Rhinolophus ferrumequinum: one gene and its partner. The protein of the gene in region 1 binds, or shares a complex with, the protein of each later gene. Links are inferred from orthologs where the notes say so. Each region holds a gene or a part of one and is shown on either strand. Other genes may lie near its edges.

What was found.
Region 2: GPKOW (region 1) and SNIP1 share a complex: the UniProt entries of both Homo sapiens proteins name them as parts of the minor spliceosome. The link is inferred for Rhinolophus ferrumequinum from reciprocal best matches to the Homo sapiens genes GPKOW and SNIP1.

Annotation. Positions count from the first base shown.
Region 1 is NC_046284.1:85,588,875-85,599,922, forward strand, and holds the start of GPKOW (G-patch domain and KOW motifs-containing protein), read left to right. Parts: upstream 1-6,829; 5' UTR 6,830-6,898; coding exon of another isoform or gene 6,899-6,921; 5' UTR 6,922-7,017; coding exon 7,018-7,193; intron 7,194-7,936; coding exon 7,937-8,091; intron 8,092-8,186; coding exon 8,187-8,311; intron 8,312-10,106; coding exon 10,107-10,216; intron 10,217-10,977; coding exon 10,978-11,048. Other genes in the region: uncharacterized protein LOC117016622, read left to right, coding at 187-223, 450-962, 1,470-1,616, 2,370-2,495, 5,786-5,793. UniProt on the Homo sapiens protein: RNA-binding protein involved in pre-mRNA splicing. As a component of the minor spliceosome, involved in the splicing of U12-type introns in pre-mRNAs.
Region 2 is NC_046292.1:26,220,768-26,230,904, reverse strand, and holds the start of SNIP1 (smad nuclear-interacting protein 1), read left to right. Parts: upstream 1-4,916; 5' UTR 4,917-5,000; coding exon 5,001-5,227; intron 5,228-6,707; coding exon 6,708-6,807; intron 6,808-7,652; coding exon 7,653-8,254; intron 8,255-9,200; coding exon 9,201-9,465; 3' UTR 9,466-10,137. Other genes in the region: DNALI1 (axonemal dynein light intermediate polypeptide 1), read right to left, coding at 119-297, 1,331-1,500, 3,251-3,396, 3,947-4,027. UniProt on the Homo sapiens protein: Required for pre-mRNA splicing as component of the spliceosome. As a component of the minor spliceosome, involved in the splicing of U12-type introns in pre-mRNAs. Down-regulates NF-kappa-B signaling by competing with RELA for CREBBP/EP300 binding.

The DNA.
Region 1 (11,048 bases):
CTCCGGGAGACCTGCCCTTCCCGGGTTTTTGAGCACCCCCAACCCTATTAGACTTAGGGCCCCAAGCCCTCCCATGGCCAGAAAGACTCCAAGGGCGCCGCCTCCCCAGCCCACCGTACTCTTCCAGTTCTCCAGTAGGGATCTGGCTTAGGCAGACACTCACTGTAAATTTACTGAGTGCCTACTATGTGCAAAGCTCTGCTGGAGACTGCAGAATTCCCAGGTAACTCAGGCTCCAGTTCTGCATCCGGGTTTTTAGGTGTCAGGGCTCCGGCGGGGCCTTTAACTTTTCTGGGCCTCGACTTCCCCTTCTCACACGTGGAATAACAACATCCCCCGGGTGGAAGGTGGAATCCAGCCCAGGGCCCTGGGATAACAGAGGCACGCCCCGAGGCTGAGCGAGGCCAAGCGCTGGCGCCCGCAGCCAGGCCTCCTTGCCTGCCGGCCAGGTAGGTCACCGTGCGGGCTGTGGCGCCGAGCACGGGACAGGTCGGCCTCACCGAGTCTAGACCCGGGCGGCCAGCCAGGTGAGCGCGCGCGGGAGCTCAAAACGCGTCGCTGGCGGCCGTGCGTCCACCCGAGCGACTCCAAGTCATGGAGCCACGCGCGGGGGTCGCCACGGACCCTAGGGGGAGCAGAGGAGGTACGGGGGTGGGGATGGGGTAGGCGCTTCCCCGCCACACCTCGCCCCGCCTGTCTGCTCCTTCCAGTTGCCTTCCGACAGGTGGTAAACAAGGCAGGCCTGGTGCCCGAGCGGCGGCGGCGGCGGCGGCGGCGGCGGCGGCGGCGGCGGCGGCGGGTATGGACCCAGCGACCCCGGCTGGGCTCGTGGCCCGCTACCCGCACCCACACCCGCGCCGCAGGGCCGCGCACCGGCTTCGGGGGCTCTCAGGGGTCTCCGGAGATGTGCCGGAGAGGTCTGCCCGGGGTCACTGGGGACACCTGGGCACTCACGGTCTCTGGTGAATTGCGGGGGCTTAGGCGGGGGCCTCTAGGGATAAGTGGAGGGGCAGTTGGGGCTACGTGGGCCACCAAGGTTGCCTAGGGTATCTGGAGGGGGAGTCGAGGGTCTCAGGGCCACAGGGGGTCAGACCGTGTTCTCTTGGGACATCTGGGGGAATCGGGGTCCCTCTCGATATTGCGGGGTTAAGAGTTTGGAATAGGAGGTTATGAGGGGGCAGTCGGAGACGTCCAGAGATAGTCACAAGAGTGTTCGGAGTGTCCAGGAATACTGCGGTCAAAGAGCTGTCTCTAGGGATATCGTGGGGGCCGGCGGGGGTCCACGCGCGTACCCGCGATGGTTGGGGGTCGCGGGAGATGACAGGGACAGTCGGCGACCCCTGGGACTATGGAGGGAGTGGTCGGGGCTCTGGGAGTTCTAGGGGCATTCTAGTCTTCGGACGTCGGGGAGTGTGGGGGTTCGCCGAGGCTCGGGGTGGGTGTTGACCGGTTCTTTTCCCCCCTCCCAGGCCGCCGCCCTCCCCAGCGGGCGAGCCCCAGAGCCTGGCGGCTCCTGGCGCGGCTGGATGCGCGACCCCTGGCGGCCAGAGCTGCGGCGGACGTGGCGGTACTGGTACGCAAGGCGGGCGCCACATTGCGCCTGCTCCCCAAGGACGGTGAGTGTCGGGGGCGGGGCCTCCCCCGGGGGCGGGGTTGGAGTACAGCTGAGTTCTGAGGTGGCAGGTGTGAGTTAGGGGAGCGGGGCTCGGAGGGAGACTCGGGGGGCGGGGCCTTGGGGTTATGCTAGCTTATTCCTCTAGGAGGTGACCCTGGGAGGGTTATTGCAGTACCGTAGGTGAGTGTTGGAAGATTAGATGAGGGTTCGAGGATGGATGGTTATCCCCAGCGAGGTCAGCGAGGCTTAGAATGGCATTTCTGAGGAGGCGGGGCCTGGAGCGTGTTGGTGGCCGCCACTTAGCTAAGGGGTGGGACTGGAATGGTGTCTAGAGGGTGGGCCCTATAAATGCATTGTGGGCGGGGCTCGAAATGTCGGGAATGGCTGAGGTGTGTAGGCTAATTAGAGGGTGGCGCCTGGAATGTTCAGGAGTCGAATCCTGGAGAGTGCGCCCTCCCGGATGGGCCTAGGGTGTTATTTGAGGGGCAGGGTCTGCGTGTTTAGAGGGAAGTAGGAAGGTCTGGAGGATGATTCAAGTAGCCGGTCCCAGGATTATTATTTAAGAAGGCGGGATAAAGACAGTTATTTCTGTGGGCAAAGCCTTGAAAGGACACTGCCTAGGTAGTTAAATGGTGGTCAAAGCCCGACGTAAGTTCAAAGAGATGAAAGCTAGATCGTTAAATTAGGGGGCGGGACCTACGTGGCTTCTATGGAGATTCACTAAACAGGTTTCATAGCCTCTGCCATCCCCCAGCAGGTAGCATGTTGGACTGTAAAGACAGTAATGTCAAAAATAAAAAAGACAGTAATGTCACGGAAAATCTCCTGTCATGGAAGGCCCCCTTGCTTCCCACTCGGAGTTCCCAGCATGGCAAATACAGTAAGTTGTGAAATACCTTGGGTTTTTTGAGGAGCTTAAAAACTCCATGAGCTGGAGACTTGCTTAAGGAACCTTGGGGAGGGAGAGGATAGCTTAATAGGATGGGAGCTGCAGGAGAGCAATGGACAGGGTCAGCCTGAGAATCTAGCACAAGTCAATGTTGGATGTCTCTCCATTTATTTAGGTCTTCTGTAATTTCTTTCAACAATGTTTTGTAGTTTTCACAGTACATTTGTTACACTTCTTTTGTTAAATTTATTTCTAGGTATTTTATTATTTTAAGGCTTTTGTAAATGGAATTATTTTCTTAATTTCATTTTTATTTTGCTTATAGAAATACAATTGATTTTTGTATACTGATCAATCCTGTAACCTTGCCAAACTTGCTTATTAGTTCTGATAGCTTTTTAGTGGATTCCTAGAATTTTCTATAGAATGTCATCTGCAATAGAGATGGTTTTACTTCTTCCTTTCCTATTTGGATACCTTTAATTTCTTTTTTCTTGTCTATCTTTCCTGATTAGAACTTCAAGGACAATATTAAATAGAAGTAGCAAGAGCAGCATTGTTGTTTTGTTTCTGATCTTGGATAGAAACTATTCAAACTTTCACATTAAGAATGATTTTAGCTGTCTACTGAACCCATTGCTTCTGATAGTAAATCAGCTTATAATGTTACTGGGGTTACCTTGTATGTAAAGAGTGATTTTTCTCATTGGTTACCAGACCGAAATCCGTGTGCCTGATGCTTGGACAAAACTCAAAACATCATAGAGTTTGGAGTAAGGAAAGGTTTATTGATTGAGAAGGCGCCCAAATGAGAAGATGGAAAACCTCGTGGTGCTTCAATGCCATCTTGCTCGCTGGACCAGGCCAATGGTTTTTAAGGGGCAAGGGGGAACAGGTATGTGGAAGTTCTGATGGGGCAAGTTTTAATTGGAGGACCTTGGATCTTGATCATTGATGGTAAAGGGGCATCAACACCGGATCTTCCTGGACAATGGGCCCTTGGCTTCTGAAAGTGTTCCGGTGTTCAAGTTCCGGTTATGTCCTGGTTCTTTGATTCCATGAGTTGGGGGACAAGACTTTGGTTCCAGGTGCAGCTGGAGGCTAAAGTTCTCTCCTCTGCACATGCCCTGACTGCACGACTTGCAGTCTTGGTCTGTAGTCTCTGAAAAGCAACTCAGTATCTCCTTGAACAGGATAGGACCATTTTGAGCTTGTTCTGCAATTACATTTGTGCTTGCAATGTTTTCTCTTTGGATTTTGACATTTTGACTATGATATGTCTGGGTATTAATCTCTTTGCATTTATCCTATTTGGAGTTCATTAAGCTTCTTGAACATGTGGATTAAAAGTTCATTAACCAAATTTAGAATGTTTTTAGCTATTATTTCTTAGAATAATTTTTCTGCTCCTCTCTCTGTCTCCACTTCTTTTTTTTTCACTTATTTATTTTTTTTATTGGGGAAGGGGAACAGGACTTTATTGGGGAACAGTGTGTACTTCCAGGACTTTCTTTTTTTCCAAGTCAGGTTGTTGTCCTTTCAATCTTAGTTGTGGAGGGTGTCATTCAGCTTCAAGTTATTGTCCTTTTAGTCTTAGTTGTGGAGGGCGCAGCTCAGCTCCAGGTCCAGTTGCTGTTGCTAGTTGCAGGGGGCGCAGCCCACCATCCCTTGCGGGAGTCGAGGGATTGAACTGGCAACCTTGTGGTCGAGAGCCCACTGGCCCATGTGGGAATCGAACCGGCAGCCTTCGGAGTTAGGAGCATGGAGCTCTAACCGCCTGAGCCACCGGGCTGGCCCTGTATCCACTTCTTCTGATACTCCCATTGCACATATGTCAGTGAACCTAATGGTGTCCCATATTTCTCTGATGCTGTGTTCGTTTTTCTTGATTCCTTTTACTGTCTGTTCTTCAGATTGCATAATCTGTATTGATCTCTCTTCTAGTTCACTGATTATTTTTTTCTGCCAGTTCAAATCTACTATTGGCCCTTCTGGTGAAATATTTTCATTTTGGTTATTGTACTTTTCAACTCTGGGATTTCCATTTGGTCATTTTTTTTTTGGTAATTTTATTTCTTTATTGACATTTTCTATTTGATGAAATACTGTTACATACCGTGTTTCCCCGAAAATAAGACCTAGCTGGACAATCAGCTCTCGTGCGTCTTTTGGAGCAAGAATTAACATAAGACCTGGTCTTATTTTACTATAATATAAGACCCGGTATAATATAATACAATATAATATAACGTAATGTAATATAATATAATATAATATAATATAATATAATACCGGGTCTTATATTAATTTTTGCTCCAAAAGGCTCTTTAGAGCTGATTGTCCGGCTAGCTCATATTTTGGGGAAACACAGTATCATACCTTCCCTTAAGTCTTTATACATGATTTCTTTTACTTCTTTGAACAAATGTATAATAACCACTTTGAAATCTTTATCTGCTAGGTCCAGCATTTGGGCCCTCTAACAGGCAGTTTCTGTTTCCTTTTCCCCACCCCACCCCACATATGGGTCACATCTTTTTGTTTCTTTGCATGTCACATAATTCGTTGTTGAAAACTGGACATTTTATATAACATTGTAGCAACTCTAGGTACTGATCTGCCCATTTTTGTTGTTGTTTGCTTGTTTGTTTAGTGACTTGATTATACTAATTTAGTCAAATCTATTTCTGCCTCACGAACCTCTTCAGAGGGTTCAGCCTTAGGCATGAGCACAGACACACTGAAATGACCTTACTTTTATCCAGGCTCTCTTTGTTTCTTTCCCTGATCTCCTAGTTTAATTTCTGGTTGGTATGCCTATATTGATACCATACCCAGCTGTTAATCTAAACTAATTTTTGACAATGCCGTAGGGCATAATTTGTTCCATAGTTTTATCCAATTAAAGTCAGGCCTTTTGTATGGGGTAGGTAAGCTTTGAGGGTAGTCTTTGCAGCTTGCTCTGAAGTAACCCCTTAGATGGGCTCTCCTTAGCTGTTTCTTTCCTGTTTTGCTTGTTGCTATCATGGAGATACCTGCCTCCTCTTAATTGCTCACAAAGCCCTTTTGGACAAAAAAGGGAGGGGCACTGTAATAAATCTAATCAAAAGTAACCTCATATGGTGATTGATCATAAATTCCTAATTGGGTAGGTTATGGTGGGTAGTCTCATCCCAGGCATATAACTTCTTTAGTAAAAGGTTTATCTTGGCCTTAAGCAAGCCCCATCCATTGTTTCTGTGCATCTAAGTTAATACACCTTTGAAATGTCTCTTTTTCAGACCCCTGAAGTGTAACCACCCTCAAGAGAGCACATAATCTTGTTAACTATCCTGTAGGTGGATGTGGATGAAGAATATACAGGAACTCTCTTACTATTTTTAATTCTAAAATTATTTCAAAATAAAAATTAAAAGATGTTTGTTGTTGTATATTTTGAAAACCACAGTGGCTTCTCTCTCGAGATTCCAGGGCCCTTTCCAGGATGCCTAGGGATTCTAAGCCTGGAAACATGGCCACGAGATTGATCAAATAATGGGCTTCCTGTTTTCAAGACAATCCTCTGACCCCACCATAAGATTCTACTTTCCAAACATTTCCATTTCATTTCATTATATTTATAGCTTCACATTTAAAGGCTCAAGTATATGATTTCCATCCAAGACATGTACTATAATTCTTTTTGCCTCATCCTCTTCTGTTGTTCATTTAAGAGGTCTTCAAGATCTTGCTACAATAATAGTATGATGAATCTCATATAAAAATCCTTTTGCACATCTTCAATGATTTCTTTGGGATGAATTTTTTGTATATTTGTAGTATTCTTTCTTGTGACTATTTGTTTAAGTAACAGTCTTCTACTTTACTAACTCTTAAGGTCATACACAAGGGGAACCTGTCTAATTAATCTTTTGAAGACTTAGGATCTGGGTCTCACAACATATTTAATGTTGATAGGAAATATTTTTTAAATATTTGTTTAAGTGTCATTGCTCCCCACTGCACTATGAGCCTCTAGAAAGGAGGAGGTGCATTTTTTATTAATAGTTGAATCCAGAGCTTGTCCAGTATTAAATCTGGTATCGGTAGGCACCATTTACATGGCTCTATTATTATTTTTTATTGTACACGACTGGCATTCACACTTTTTCTTAAATGATTTATCTTGCCTACACTTCTCACACCAGTAGGGCACAGTAACGTGTACACAGTACGCGATCAATAAATACTTGTCAAACGCCTACACGAAGTACTGAATATCTGCTAAGAATGAATCAGCCTCCTACCACGCCTACCTCCCTGAAGAACTACATTTCCCTATATGCTTAGCGCGACGCGCGCCTATGAAGTAAAAAGGGCGACAATTGCTTCCCACCGCCCGCTTTCACCTGTCGATGCCGCAGTATTTTGTGGGAAGGTAGGTAGTTCTAGCGCTAGTTGTCAGGTCCCGGGCAACCCGAGCCCAAACTAACCTTCCCAGCAAGCAGCTCACCAGCCTGGGAAGAGGGGCAAGATGGCGGATGCGGAAGAAGGTGTTTTGCGGCCGGCGGGAGCCTCCACTGCCCCGATTTCGTTCAGCTTTAGTCGCACGTCCGCCCGGAGACGGCTGGCGGGCCCAGGAGACGGCGCGGGTGCGGCCCCGGAGGAGAAGGATTTCTTGAAGACCGTGGAAGGGAGGGAGTTGCAGAGGTGAAGCGCCGAGTCGTTCATCCCTTGGAAGTCGGTGCGCTGGGTGCAAGTGGGAGGGTGCAATCTGAGTTGATTGTCTCGGTGACAGTGACCTGGAAAGCCTGAATACCGCCAGAGGAAATTCGTGGAGGCGAGAAGGCGGGAGTTTGTAGGACAGGTGGAGAAATTGAGCCTGATGGCCGTGGGGATTGACAAGAGAGGATGGATTCCTGAGAGGGAGTGTCTTTAGGATTTAGGAACCCTGAGATGTGTGCGTTCTGAGAGAAGGAAAAGAGGAGAGAATTACAGGACCCCTAATGTCTCAACTGATGCGGTGGGGCTTCTCTGATACGGGGAAACGGGATGGAGCGACAGATTCAGGTTGGAGGATGCCTTCGTCAGCTTAATCCGGAAAGGAGAGTCTGAGGGAGGGATTTCCAGAAAAAAATCAACCAGCCAAGGAGGCAGGTGTGGAGCCTGGAGCTGGGGAGAGAATACAGGCTGAATATAGTGATTTGTGGGTCATTGTGGAAGCCATCGACTGAGGACTGATTCCCCAAAGGCACAATTAGGAGTTGGGGGTGGAGGAGAGAATCCAAAGAAAGTACCATGAGAGACCTAACAGGAGAGCCAGACAGAACCGAGGGCGCTGTCCATGGGACTTGGGGTGAGCTTGGCTCTTGTGTTTTCTCTGAATGAAGGGGTGTGGCTCAACCCACTGACCATACTACTCTCCCAACTTCACCCTTCTGTGTTCACATTAGTGTAAAGCCCTCAGAAGCCCCCAAGGAACTCGTCATCCCCTTGATCCAGTATGGCCATCGCAGGCAGCCACCAACCCAGGCCCCGGGGCCATCCACAGATATTGAGGCCATGGGGGATGGGGTGCTGTCCCAGGCTGTGAAGGAGCTCATTGAGGGTGAGTGATCCCCCATTTGCCTTGCCCCAGTAAAGGAAGAACAGGAGGAAAATGGAAGGGAAGGGTGGAACCTCATTGCTCCCATTCTTCCTTAGAATCCAAGAAGTCTCTGGAGGAGAGCGAGAATGCAGGTGTTGACCCCACGCTCGCTATCCCCATGATCCAGAAAGGATGCACTCCCAACGGGGAAGGCACAGACAGTGAACCCCAGGCTGAGACAGTGAGCTGGCCCCTCGCCCCCCTCCTCTCCCAGCCTCTCTTTTCCCTGTCTGACAGGCTTGCCTCCCTGCACACAGCAGGAGAAGTGTGTGTGTGTGTGTGTGTGTGTGTGTGTGTGTGTGTGTGTGATGATGCATACTACTTACCCGTCCTTCCATCCTTTGGAGTGTTTGAGGAACACCAAGGGGACTGATGTGACCGAAGTGGAATGAGGGAGAGGGAGGGGTCGTAGATGAGCTCATCAGTGGGAAGGCTGAACTAGGCAGGGCCTTGTGGGCTGTGGTGAGGACGTGGATTTTAGTCTGAATGAGATGAGAGTGAGGAGAGGGCTCTGAGCAGAGAAAGGACACGACTTATGTTTTGACAGGATTTCTCTGGCTGCTGTGAACAGAACAGACTAAGTAAGCAGAGGTGGAAGCAAGGTGACCAGTAGTGATGGAGACTGAAACCAGAGTGGTAGGAGTGAGGCCTGGAAGGACAGGTAGGGTTTAGTGAGAAAAGGGAGAGCAGGGTGAGTACTCCTAATGGCAGCAATGACCCAGACCATGGCATGATGGCAGGAAATCAATGTGGTGCGTGTCCGACAGTGAGGCAATTTATGGTGTATCTGGAGCGAATATAAAGAACTGCGGGAGTGATGATGGGAGGTAACGGGTGTGTCTACATAAGTAACCAAGTCTGTCTTTCATACCCATGGACCCTCTTTTCACCTCTTCATTCACAGTTTGTTTTTTGCAGTGCTTTGGAGCCTGACTTTCCTACAGCCCCAGACCACCATCTCTTTTGACTGAACTTTCTTATTAGCCTTCAGATGTCCTCTGGTTTCTTTCATCATACAAAAGAAAAAAAGACTTTCACTCTCCATCCTCTTCCAGCTTTGGCCTCATTTCTCTCAGTTTTCCTCCTTGCTCAGCTTTCCACGTCTCAGTTGATCACATTTACAGCCATCCTTTCTCTTACTCAGCCTAAAAACCTTAGCACCCACCTTTGACGCACCTCTTTATTTCATACCACAATACAATCTTTCAGCAGAATCCTATCATATTCCTTTTCAAAATACCTCTAAAATCGGAACAGTTCTCCCCGTCGCCACTACCACTGTGCTGGTCTGAGCCACTAGCATCACTACTGGCATTGGACTGCTGCAGTTACTGTCTCAATGGTCTCCCTTGTGGCTCCTGCCCAGCTCTCCTAATTAATCTCTTACCACCCCTCTCTACATCCATATCTCTAGTTCAGTCAGGTTGACTTTCCTCATATTTTTCAGACATACCAGATCTTGTCCTGCTTCAGTACCTTTGCTCTTACTGTTCTCTCTGCTTGGAACACTTTTCCTTCTCACATCCTCATGGCTTTCTCTGTCATCTCCTCTGGTCTCTGCTCAAATATCAACTCAGTGACACTCCCTTCTCCATCCTTCTGCAGCTCCTTAACCTGCTTTATTTTCCTTCACATAATTTATTACCACCTGACATATCCTGTTTTATGTATTTTATTTATTGTGTGTCCCGCAACTGGAATGTAAGCTCCAGAAGAGCAGGTGTTTATGTCTGTTTTGTTTACTGCTTTCTCCCTAGCACCTAGAACAGTACCTGGCACAGAACAGGTGCTTTGTAAATATCTGTTGAAAGACTGAAGTGGAGGAGTAAAGTGAGGGATGGTGAGGGGAAATCAAAAGTTACCCTTGAACTGACTGGAAAAGAAGCAGTGAGGATCTCAGTGGGAAGTAGCAAATGCACTTCTGAGGACCCACCATGCGCAAAGCCTGACCACCCTTCCTCTGCCTGAACGTGTAGGTGCCGGAGGAGGCCAATTACGAGGCAGTCCCTGTGGAGGCCTACGGGCTGGCCATGCTGCGGGGCATGGGCTGGAAACCCGGCCAGGGCATCGGCCGTACCTTCAATCAGTGAGTTCTGGGGTAGGGGTAAGGGGACAGTAGACAAGGCAATGGACAAGACCCCTGCGGTTACTGCCCCCCCAGAACCATCCCGGCACGGGAAGGGCACATTACCATCCTAACCAATTCAGCAGTCTCTTCCACTACTGCTTCAAACTCCTATTTGCCCTTTGAAAATCCGTAACGGGATCCGATTTATGGCAAGATTGTTTCTCTGGGCATCAGCTTCCTCATCTGAAAAATGTGGATAGTAACAGCACGGACTTCCTAGGTCAGTGGAGAATTGAGTGAAATTATACATGTAAAGCACTCATAGTTGGCCCTGGACCCAAATAAGCATTGACTGGACATTTGCTGTCATCACGTGGACTTACAGTCCCTTCACAGTTCTGAACGCCAAAGAATTTTGAAAACCAAATATTTTTTTCATAAACCCTTTGGCAGCCAAATGTGATCTGGATTGACATTGAATTTTTTATAGTCTGTTTCTCCTGTTTGGTGTGAATATTTGTATGATTTCCCTTGTAGAAATATTAGTGTATTTGGTTACACTGTGGATACTACGTAATGGATGGTATATACAGCATGTTATTAGGTTGAACCAAATGAAATTGCCATTTCTATAGGCCAAAAACAGTCCCAACATAGGATGGGGAAATATATTATTGAACATATTGGTAGGATGGGATTTGGCCAGGGGTGCAGGGGAGGAGTGGGGCATTAAAGACCATTGCATCCCCCAACAAGCCCATATTCTGTGCTCCCTGCAGAGTGGTGAAGCCCCGTGTCAACTCACTGAGGCCCAAAGGGTTAGGGCTGGGCGCCAACCTGACTGAGGTCC
Region 2 (10,137 bases), on another chromosome or scaffold:
ACACTCTGCACCAAGGGGTGCTCACTGAGGTGATGGGAGTGCACCCTAGGGGGTCAGAATGACAACCACATGGCCTAAGACAGACAGAAGAGTTCCAGAGGGCGGTAAACCCACTCACTTTCCTCTCCATGTCTGACTTCCCCTGCTCGGCCTGCAGCGCCTTCCTCATGCCGAACGCCACGCTGCTCTCATACAAGGTCTGGTATGCAGCGATGGTCATGCGGATCTCATCGCGGACTCGCAGCAGCAGCAGGCCTCTCTCCACACAGTTGATGGTGACCTCACGGATCAGCTCATCTTCCAATGCACGCACACACAGGGAGGTCAGAGAAGGCAGGCGGGAGGGGAAATGCACCAGGTCTACTGCAAGCCACCCTTCCTACTGGGACGAGTGCTTAGGGTGTGTCCTCCTCACTTGAAGACACATCTGGGGAGGGGCCTTCAAGTGGCCCCAGGAGCCGTGCCGTGCAGCCAGTGCTCTGAACTTGGCACTTGGGAGTACAGGCAGTCGGCAAGCCCAGGGCAGAGGGAGACAGGAGCCCCAGGTTTGTTTGCAGCCGTGAGGCTCCTCTCTTCCATCTTCAGCCAAGAACAGGGTACTATTCATAGAAATCTGACTTTTCAATTTGAAGATGGTGGCTGCTTTAAAGCAGCCGAAAAATCCAATGTGCCTCCCTGGCTGGACTGGTTTAGGGCTGGAAACAGCTTGTCCACCCATCTCCTCCATAATTGCTGGGCTGGAGGGCAAACCATCATCATACTCAGGCAGCAGGGTGGCACAGACACGTGCAAACTGGACGCAGTTTGCATGTCAGAGTCCACATGGGCCAGTGAGACTGGGCTGGGGGACAGCCATGTCACACCAGCACTTGGGGAGGGAGATCGTAAATCCCTGTGTCGGTCAGTTAACAAATTACCCTGAAATATTTTTCTGGACCAAAGGCTGAATGTTGATGGATGGATATAAATATAGAACGTAAAACTTTCTGATGAAAAAAATTAATACATACTTATTATAGAAATCTTTGAAAAAACAAAGACTTAAAATGGAAGTTCTCATTTACTCCAAACATCTGCTAAGAGGTGAGGCACCAGGTTGTCAGGAACCAGGTTGACTGGCAAGTGGGTAGGAGAGGCGGGGCTGGGAGGGGGAAGAGGGTGTATTTAGCAGTTCCTGGGTGGGGCAGGTAGAAAGACAGATTTTCATCCTTGCTTTGTCGTATGGGGGAGCTTCAGCTCGGGGATCCTCAGGGCATGGGGCTGTGCTGGAGGGGAAGGGAAGGAGACAGCAGAATGTAGTGTACCCTCCCCCAGTCCTCAGGCCACTCACCAAAACACTGCGAGTAAAGCTCCCTGCGGACAGGGCATATGCCAGTCTCCCTGGCCTGCCGCTGTTGCAGCTTCAGGTCCAGCTGCTCCTGGAGATGTACGACATCCATCCTGGTGCTGGGGGTGCTGGACACCTGCTGGATCCATAGCTGCGTGTCTTCTACCCACTCCCTGTGGCACAGACACAGCCAGGCTGAGCGAAACCCATTGACCAGAGACGGTCCTCAGGACACGAGTGAGATGGCCGTTTGAGCTCTCTGCCTGAGCAGGAGTGAAGGGCAACTCTGTCCCCCTTTCTTCCTTGGGGAATGTGTGGCTCCAAAGCCATGTCCATTAAGCTGCCTCCACAGGTCCCCTACCTTGGGGCTGGGCAATCTCTACTCTCCCACTGTGAAATCATCACCCATGTTCCAGATCTTACCCTCCTAATGTGTAGAGGGCAAATTGGTGGTTGTTGCTTAATCTGAACAGAAGGCCCAGAAGGAACTGCCCCCTGATTTGTGGGGTGGGAGACACGGGGCACCATAAACCTTGTGCCAGTCAGAAAGAGGCCAACGTGTGGATTGGGGAATGGAGAAATTCTTGAAGGCATGTAGCCCTCCCTATACTAAACCTCGTGTCAAGAGGCATGGCCCCATTCTGGAATCCTAAGGGGGGAGCCCAAGGGCAGAACCACCATGGGGGAGAGGACTTTCATGCATTGCTTGCTGGGAAGTAATTTACTGAGAAATCACCCCCTCCCCCTTCTTTGACTTCTATCTCTGAGGAGATTGCAGTCTCTTTTCATCATAGACTTAAAAATCAAATAAACAAAAAAACAAAAAAAACTGTCAACTTATTACGTAAAAATAGTAGAAAAACATGTCAGATAGTGATAAATGAGGCTACAGAAAAAAGAAGCCGAGTAAAGAAGAAGAGAGAAGGTACTCTTTTATAAGAATTCTCAAGGAAGGCCTCCGTGAGGAAACGACATTTGAGCAAGACCTGAGTGAAGAAAGAAGGCAACCAGGTGGCTATCATGTGGAGAGTATCTTTGGCAGTGAGAAGAACAGCAGTTGTCAAGGCCCTGAGGTGGAAGAGTGAAGTGTTTCAGAGACACTGAGCCGAGGCCCCTGTGGCATTAGCACCGTGAACAGAAGGAGAATAAGAGATAAGATCATGGGTACATCAGGGGCCAGATCACGCGAGGTCTTCCAGGTCACGGTAAGGACTCTGGGTCTCAGTCTGAGTGAGATGGGGAGCCATTAAGGAGTTTCTGGCAGACGCCTGGCGTGATCTGCCTTATGATTTCGGGACTGTGCTAAGAATAGATTGTAGGGGCAGAGTGGAGCCGGGTTTTCAGATAGGAAGGCCTCTGCAGTAGTGCAGGTGACTAACAATGACTAGGAACAAGACGGTAGAAGTAGAAGTGGTGAAGTGGTCAGATTTGTGGAGCCAAAGGAACTTGATGAAGGATAGGACATTGTAATGTAAAAGACCGAAAGGAATGAGAGGTGACCTGAGCCTCTAGTAGAAAGGAGAAGACTGGGAATGAGCAGGTTGGGGGAAGAAGAAATTGTGATTACGTCTGGACACGTTGAGTTTGAGATATCTACTAGCATCTTCATGGAGGTAATGAGGTTGTAGTAGAATATATGGAGTTTAGGGGAGAGGGCAGAGCTGGAAATACACATTTGGGAGCCATCAGCATATAGATGGTAGTTAAAGCCACGAGCCTGAGTGAGAGCACTCAGGAAGTGAGGGCAGATTGAGATCTCCCCACCACCCTTCCAAGATCCAGCCACCTGCAAGCACCAGGAGCTCTAGGATGGTGGGAGGAAATTCCAACCAGGAACAGAGACAGGGTTCCTCTTTCCACAGTCCCATGTTCAGGGGTGGAAAAGCCTGGGCCTTCTCCCAGCCACTGTTCCTCCTTTTTTACCTTGGAGGCAGGATGGCATTCAAGATTTCTTCTGCTTGCTTTGTAGGATCTGGGATACAGGAAGTTGTGGGGAGCTTGGTCTTTGGTGGTTGTGGGACTGGACCTGAGGGTCCAGGTTGCTGGGGGCTGATTTTCAGTGGCCGAGCCTGAGAAGAAGGAACAAGTTAAGACAGGAGGTGATTCAGACACTGAGCTCCGCAGGTCCTGGCACTCTGGATTGCTCCAGGTCTCCAGCACACCCCTCCCCTATTCCCAGCTCATTTTCCCATTTGTCTTCTCAACAGAAGTTATGTCTCAGAGCTGCAGGAGGCGGTGTAGAGTCTCTGGTCTCACCCCAACCCAATGCTTGTATCTCCTTGAACAGATGTTTCTGGCACGGTGCTCGGGCCTCTGCTTTCACACCTCTAGTAATGGGGCAATCACTACCAGATCTATTCTTGGACCCGGCTACCATGAAAAAGAGTGAACCCCATTCATCTCCCTGTGACTTCCCCATTCTAAATCTGCCCTCTGGAGTCGCCCAACATTTGGGCTTCTTGTACCTCTCTCCCTCACCCATCCTTCACCCATCCCAGTTCCCTTCACTCCCAGTCGTTTCAGCCTCTGTCCCTCTGGACTCCCTATCCTGTAGGCTAGAATCTGTCATTTCCCCATCAGAGCTACCAGGCTCCCGCGTCCCCTGAGATTCGTCCTTACTTTGGGGCTCCGTTTCTCCGTGTTCCGGCTCACCAGCACCGGGGTGTCATACTTGAGCAGAGAGTCCGCGGGAGGGATCATGGCGGCAACTGGAGTAGTAAGCAGCCCAGCAGCGGCCCCTCCAGGCTGGGCCTTGTTTACCGTCACCATGGAAACCTCCTCTCCCAGTCTCACGGCCTGGGCGGGGCTTCGAAGTTGGGCGGGGCCAGCAGAGCTCCATTTTTTTTCTGCATGGCTTTCACGAAAAGTTCTGCGGTTAGCTCGTCAGGCCTCCTGCTCACCGAATCGCTCCGGCACTCTTGGGAGAAAGAAAAACAGGGGTTTCGGTTCCTGCGCCACGTGTAGCTCTCAACCTGAATGAGGTGGCAGGTCTCCTTTGCTGATCCCCAATTTTCTTACCTGCAAAGGTGGAAGTCATCTGACTTCTCAGTGAAGGATTGGGGAAGGTTCCCAGAAGACATCTGTAGTTCTCAGGTTTTAAAAAGTATTTGTTTCTAATTAAATGGAGAAATGACAACGTAACAGAAAGTTCAAAACTAGAGGGGAAAATACTAATGATTTGCCCACGGGCTACCATATATGATTTCATTTCCTTCGTATTTCCAAACGTAAATGTAAGCACAGTTTGCGCACAATTTTGTATCCCGCTTCTGTCGTTTAACAAGTCAGGGTTTTTTCCTTTTGTCATATAGAGTTTGTAAATAGCATTGTGAGTGGCAATATAACATCCATCAATTGGCTAAACAACTCCCTACTGATGGGCATTTAGGTGGTCACCGTGTTTAATAATTACTAATGATGCGACGACAAATAGCCTCGAGACTAGCTTTTTCCGAGAGGTTGGCTTTGGAAACAAAACTCCCGCCACCCGAGTCGCCTCACTACAGCCCCGCCCACAAGAGCGTCCTTGTCACGTGTTTGGCTTCTCCCTCGCGAGGGTTTCTGGGAGAGCGTACACCGCAGAAGCGGAAGTCCAGGCGTCTAGCCCGTCATTTCCTTTAGCGAGAGCAGTGCAACGGACGTAGTTTTTCCTACGCTCCTCGGATATCTCAGCATGAAGGACGTGAAGAGCGAGCGAGAGAGGGGGAACCGGCGAAAGCACCGGGACGAGGACATAGTGGCGGCGACGGCGGCGGTGGTGGTGAAGCAGGAGCGCCTCAGCCCGGAGGCCGCTCCTCCCGTCCACCGCCGTCCGGACTCCTCCGGCGGTAGTGCGTCCCCACCGGCCGGCGAGCCGGGACGTCCTGGTCACCGCGGGAACCGAGCCCGAGCACGTAGTCGGTAAGTGGGAAGCAGCCTGGAGTGGACCTTAGGTCGGGCTCGTTGAGAAAGGGGGACCGAGCTAGCGTCAGAAACACACCTTGAACGCTGAGCGCAGCGGCTTGCACTTAATTCTAAGGTGTGAAAGAGATCGGGGTGGTGCTTGTGTTACTGTTTACCTGTCAACCTGTGTTGTAGCTGGGTGTTAAGCACCCAATGGACGGGATCCTGCCCTTTCATCTCTGTGTGCTCAGCGCTTCGCCGAGTATGAGCCAGCGGATCGTTTAAGTTGAAATGAAAGGTTTTCCCCACCTGCCTGCACATGGAGTGCGAGTGTTGTCTTTACATTTAACCTGGCCCCAAAGATTTCCGTATGGAAGGCCTAGGAGATCTACCTGATAGAACTTCTGGGGGGAAAAAGTCTCTTGCTAGACTCCTTCATTTATTCATTCAACATAGTTTTACTGAGTACCTATTATGTGCCCTAGGTACTGGGGCCACAAGGGTGAACAAGGTAGATGGTCATTACCTTCTCAGAATTAACATGCTCTAGCCCTGAGACAAAATAACTAGCAAATGAAGAAAATAGTTTTAGTTAGTAACAAGTATTAGGGATAGATTAAAACAGTAATGCGATAGAGATTGGAGGGAAGTGGGAGAAGGCAGCTCTGAAAAGGTGCCATTTGCGCTGAGACCTGAGTAAGACTAATCCGTAATCCAGCCTTGGGAAGATCCAGGCAGAGAAGACAATAGGTGCCAAGAACCTGAAGTGGAATTAATTGTGATTGTTCTAGGAATAGAAAAAAATCCAGTGTAGCGATCAAGGAGAGTGGTTGGAATGAGGTGGGAGAGAGAGGAGACAGAGCCAGAGGACTTGTTGATGGATTGAATGTGATTGCAGGGACGGGTGTGGGAAGCTGTTGGTGGTGAGAAAAAAAAGAATCAAGGTTGACTTCTTGTTTTTGGCTTGAGTAGCGGGGTGGATGGTGATGCTATTTACTGAGATGGCAAAAAGGAAAGGTTTTTGAAGGGTTGGTAATCAAGAGTTATGTTACATATATACCGTGTTTCCCCGAAAATAAGATCTAGCCGGACAATCAACTCTAATGCATCTTTTGGAGCAAAAATTAATATAAGACCAGTCTTATTTTACTATAATATGAGACCAGGTATTATAATATAGTATAATTAATATAATAATATAATGTAATACCGGGTATATTAATTTTTGCTCCAAAAGACGCATTAGAGCTGATTGTCCAGCTAGGTCTTATTTTCAGGGAAACATGGTAAGTGAGAGGGTTTGGTAAGCGGTTATGTCTGTGGGTCTGGAACTTGGGAGAGGTTAGGGCTAGGAAAGTGAAGCTCCTAACTCCTACAGTGTGAAAAGCAGAGACCTTCAAAAATGTGGTATTTGTGTAGTAGTAAGCCTGATATCGGAAGGTAATTTATATGGGGAAGGGACATTGAGATAAAATCCTGTGTGTCTCATTCTCTTAAGATCCCCAGCCAAAAAGAAAAAGTCCTCAGGGAGAAGAAGCAAGTCTCCTCGAAGTAACAGAAGCCGAAGTCCTCACCACTCAACAGTCAAAGTGAAGCTGGTAAGTGGATTGAGCTATTGTGATACTGGGTCCAAATCTGGAGCCTCTTTCCGTCATAGCTGGAGTGTTGTGTGTGTGTTCACCTGTACCTGCAATGGGCTTTTCTCAAAACTGGGTGGGGGTTTTTCTGCTTGTCTTGTTAAACTTTTTATTTTGAAATAATTATTAATTCACATACAGCTGTAAAAGTAATAATGGCGTATAGTCTGTATCCTGTTTCTCCCAATGAGTATTGTACAGAATTAGAGTGCAATATCACAACCAGAATATTGACATCAACGCTGTCAAGATATAAAACATTTTCATCACCACCACAGGATCCTTTGTTGTCCTTTTACAGTCACACCCACTACTTTCCCACTTATACCCCTCAATTGGCAACTTCTGTTGTCCATTTCTATAATTTTGTCACATCAGATCTTACATATTTCTTAAGTGTATTCCTGGGTATGAAATGACTTTTGTTACTGTTGAAATAATTTAAAATTACTATTACATTTTCATTTTTGGCATAAGAGAAAGCTAGCTTGTTTTTCTTTACGTATTTATCTTGTACATGACTCTCTGTTAGCTCTCTCTTCTGTATATGCTCCCCTATAAGTTTGCCTGCAGGTGCTCTTGTTTCTAGGGCACTGAACATGGGCTTGCACTGTTAGAGCTATAGCTGGGCTTCAGCATGGGGTACACAGTGTGACCTTGGACAGGTACATCACCACCACTGATAACCTTATTTCTGGGCGACATTTTGCTCTTGAAGGCCAAAGCCCAAATCACATTCCTTTTGAATGCGGCTTGTTCATAGGCTGTGAACTGCCTTTGATTTCCTGAATGGGTTTGAATTTCAGGAACGGGAGGATCATCCTCCCCGGAGAGGACGGGAGGATCGGCAGCACCGGGAAGCATCAGGACAGGAACACAGGCGAGCCAGGAACAGTGACCGAGACAGGCACAGGGGCCATTCCCACCAGAGGCTAACGTCTAACGAGAGGCCTGGGAGTGGGCAGGCTCAGGGCCGGGACCGAAACCTTCAGAACCTACAGCCTCAGGAAGCAGAGCGGGAGTTTTATAACGCCCGACGGCGGGAGCATCGCCAGAAGAATGAAGTTACTGCCAGCAGTAATGAGTCTCAGGAGCTGGTTCCTCGAACTGGTGGCAACAACAAAGATAAAGAGGTGCCCGCGAAGGAAAAGCCAAGCTTTGAACTTTCTGGGGCACTTCTTGAGGACACCAACACCTTCCGGGGTGTAGTCATTAAATATAGCGAGCCCCCAGAAGCACGGATCCCCAAAAAACGGTGGCGTCTCTACCCCTTTAAAAACGATGAGGTGCTTCCAGTCATGTACATCCATCGTCAGAGCGCCTACCTGCTGGGGCGCCACCGCCGCATCGCCGACATTCCAATCGATCACCCCTCGTGTTCAAAGCAGCACGCGGTCTTTCAGTATCGGTGGGTATACATTTGTGGGAAGAAACTCAAGGGTGAGCAGAAGCTAACGCCTCAGGTAGTTAGGGGTACTAAGTTTTGTGTACAGTATGTGCAGAAGAACCCGTACCCCTCACCACTGACACTAGCCTTAGGGAGTGTTAGCCTAACTGCCCTTTGAATGATCACTGATATTTGTACAGAGCATTGAACGTGGTGTCAAGAATCCAGAGTTTGAATCCTGACACGGTCACATACCAGGTGTTTGACCTGTAGCAAGCCACTTTCTGGGCCTCAGTTTCTGCCTACCTCACGGGACTATTATGAGGGTTAAACGGAAACATAATTGAGAATGCCTGGTTGGCCACATCTGTTTCTTAGCTGCATATATGTTGGCCACATCTGTTTCCTGACAGTTTGCATAGTACATCTGCTATTGGCTGATGGCTCCCAACAATCCTGTGAGGAGGACAGGACAGGTATTAATGTCCCTATTTGCCAGGTGAGAAGACAAGCTCAGGAAAGCCAAGTGATTTGCCTAGTAAATGTTCACCATAGTAGAACTCTGACTTAAATCTAGCTCCCTTAACTCTGAAGTCCAAATCTACTGCTTTATTCCCGTAGTGATAGAAGATCAGATATGTTGAAATATAGGTGAAAGAAGTGTTATATTGATTATAAACAACACACAAAAATGTATTAATATTTTCTGAAGTATGGAAAGAGGCGTTGGATTCTGCATTTTAAGTTTTTGATACACCATGAATTTCCCGCCCTCCAGCAATCAGTTCTCACCTTTTCTACTAAGTATTATTTAACTTGCCTCCAATTTCTAAGTCCAAGGCCATGCCTTCCCCTTTGTTTCTTAGAGTTTGAATTTGAACTATGTTGAAGCCAGGTTATCCAGCAAAAAGCTGGATGATCTGAGGCAGGGTTTTGCTCACAGGTATCTCTCCGTCATCTTTTCTAGGCTTGTAGAATACACCCGTGCTGATGGGACAGTTGGCCGCAGAGTGAGGCCCTACATCATTGACCTTGGTTCAGGCAATGGAACATTCTTGAACAACAAGCGCATTGAGCCACAGAGATACTACGAACTGAAGGAAAAAGATGTACTTAAATTTGGGTTCAGCAGCAGAGAGTATGTTCTGCTTCATGAGTCCTCTGACACCTCTGAAGTAGACAGGAAAGAAGATGAGGATGAAGAGGAAGAGGAGGAAGTATCCGACAGCTAGCAAACTCGGAAGAGCCCAGACTCTGGAGAGACCGTTCTTTCCTCGAAGGCTTTGGGACTGACTCAGAGAGCACCGCGGTGGGCTCTGTAATGCCTTTTACTGCCTTAAGTTTCCTCGGTGGCTGACCAGCTTACATCAGTGTAAGAAAACCGACTTATGTTTGGTTGAACTTTTTTCTGTGGCACATCAGCCACATGCCTGTGGACATACGTTTTCAGAACAGTCTCACCAACACATTGTGTTTCGTAGAAGCGCTGTGGCTTTAGGTGGTGCTTCCAGAACTGCTGCCTAGGAAATAATAAACCCTTGGTTAAAGGGGAATTGTGGCTTGTTCTCTTTGTACAGTTACTTTATTTATCACTTTGTGGACTGGGTTTTGTTTTTGGTTCTGGGGCAAACCCCTTAACAGAATCTTACTAAGCTTTGGTTATCACCAGAACAGCCTCCAGTATATACCAAAGCTTTGATCTGGTTGAGCTCTTGAGTCACAGTTTGATTTTGCACTTCTTTTTTGGGAGGTGGGAATTGACCACATGACCTCATTATTGACTATTGGATTTAAACAGATGCTTTATGGAGGCTGATTAAGCATGTGACTGTACAGGAAGATCATGACTACTGCCAGTGGGTGCTGATTTCATGTCACAAAAGGCTGAAATGTGTCGAGGATGT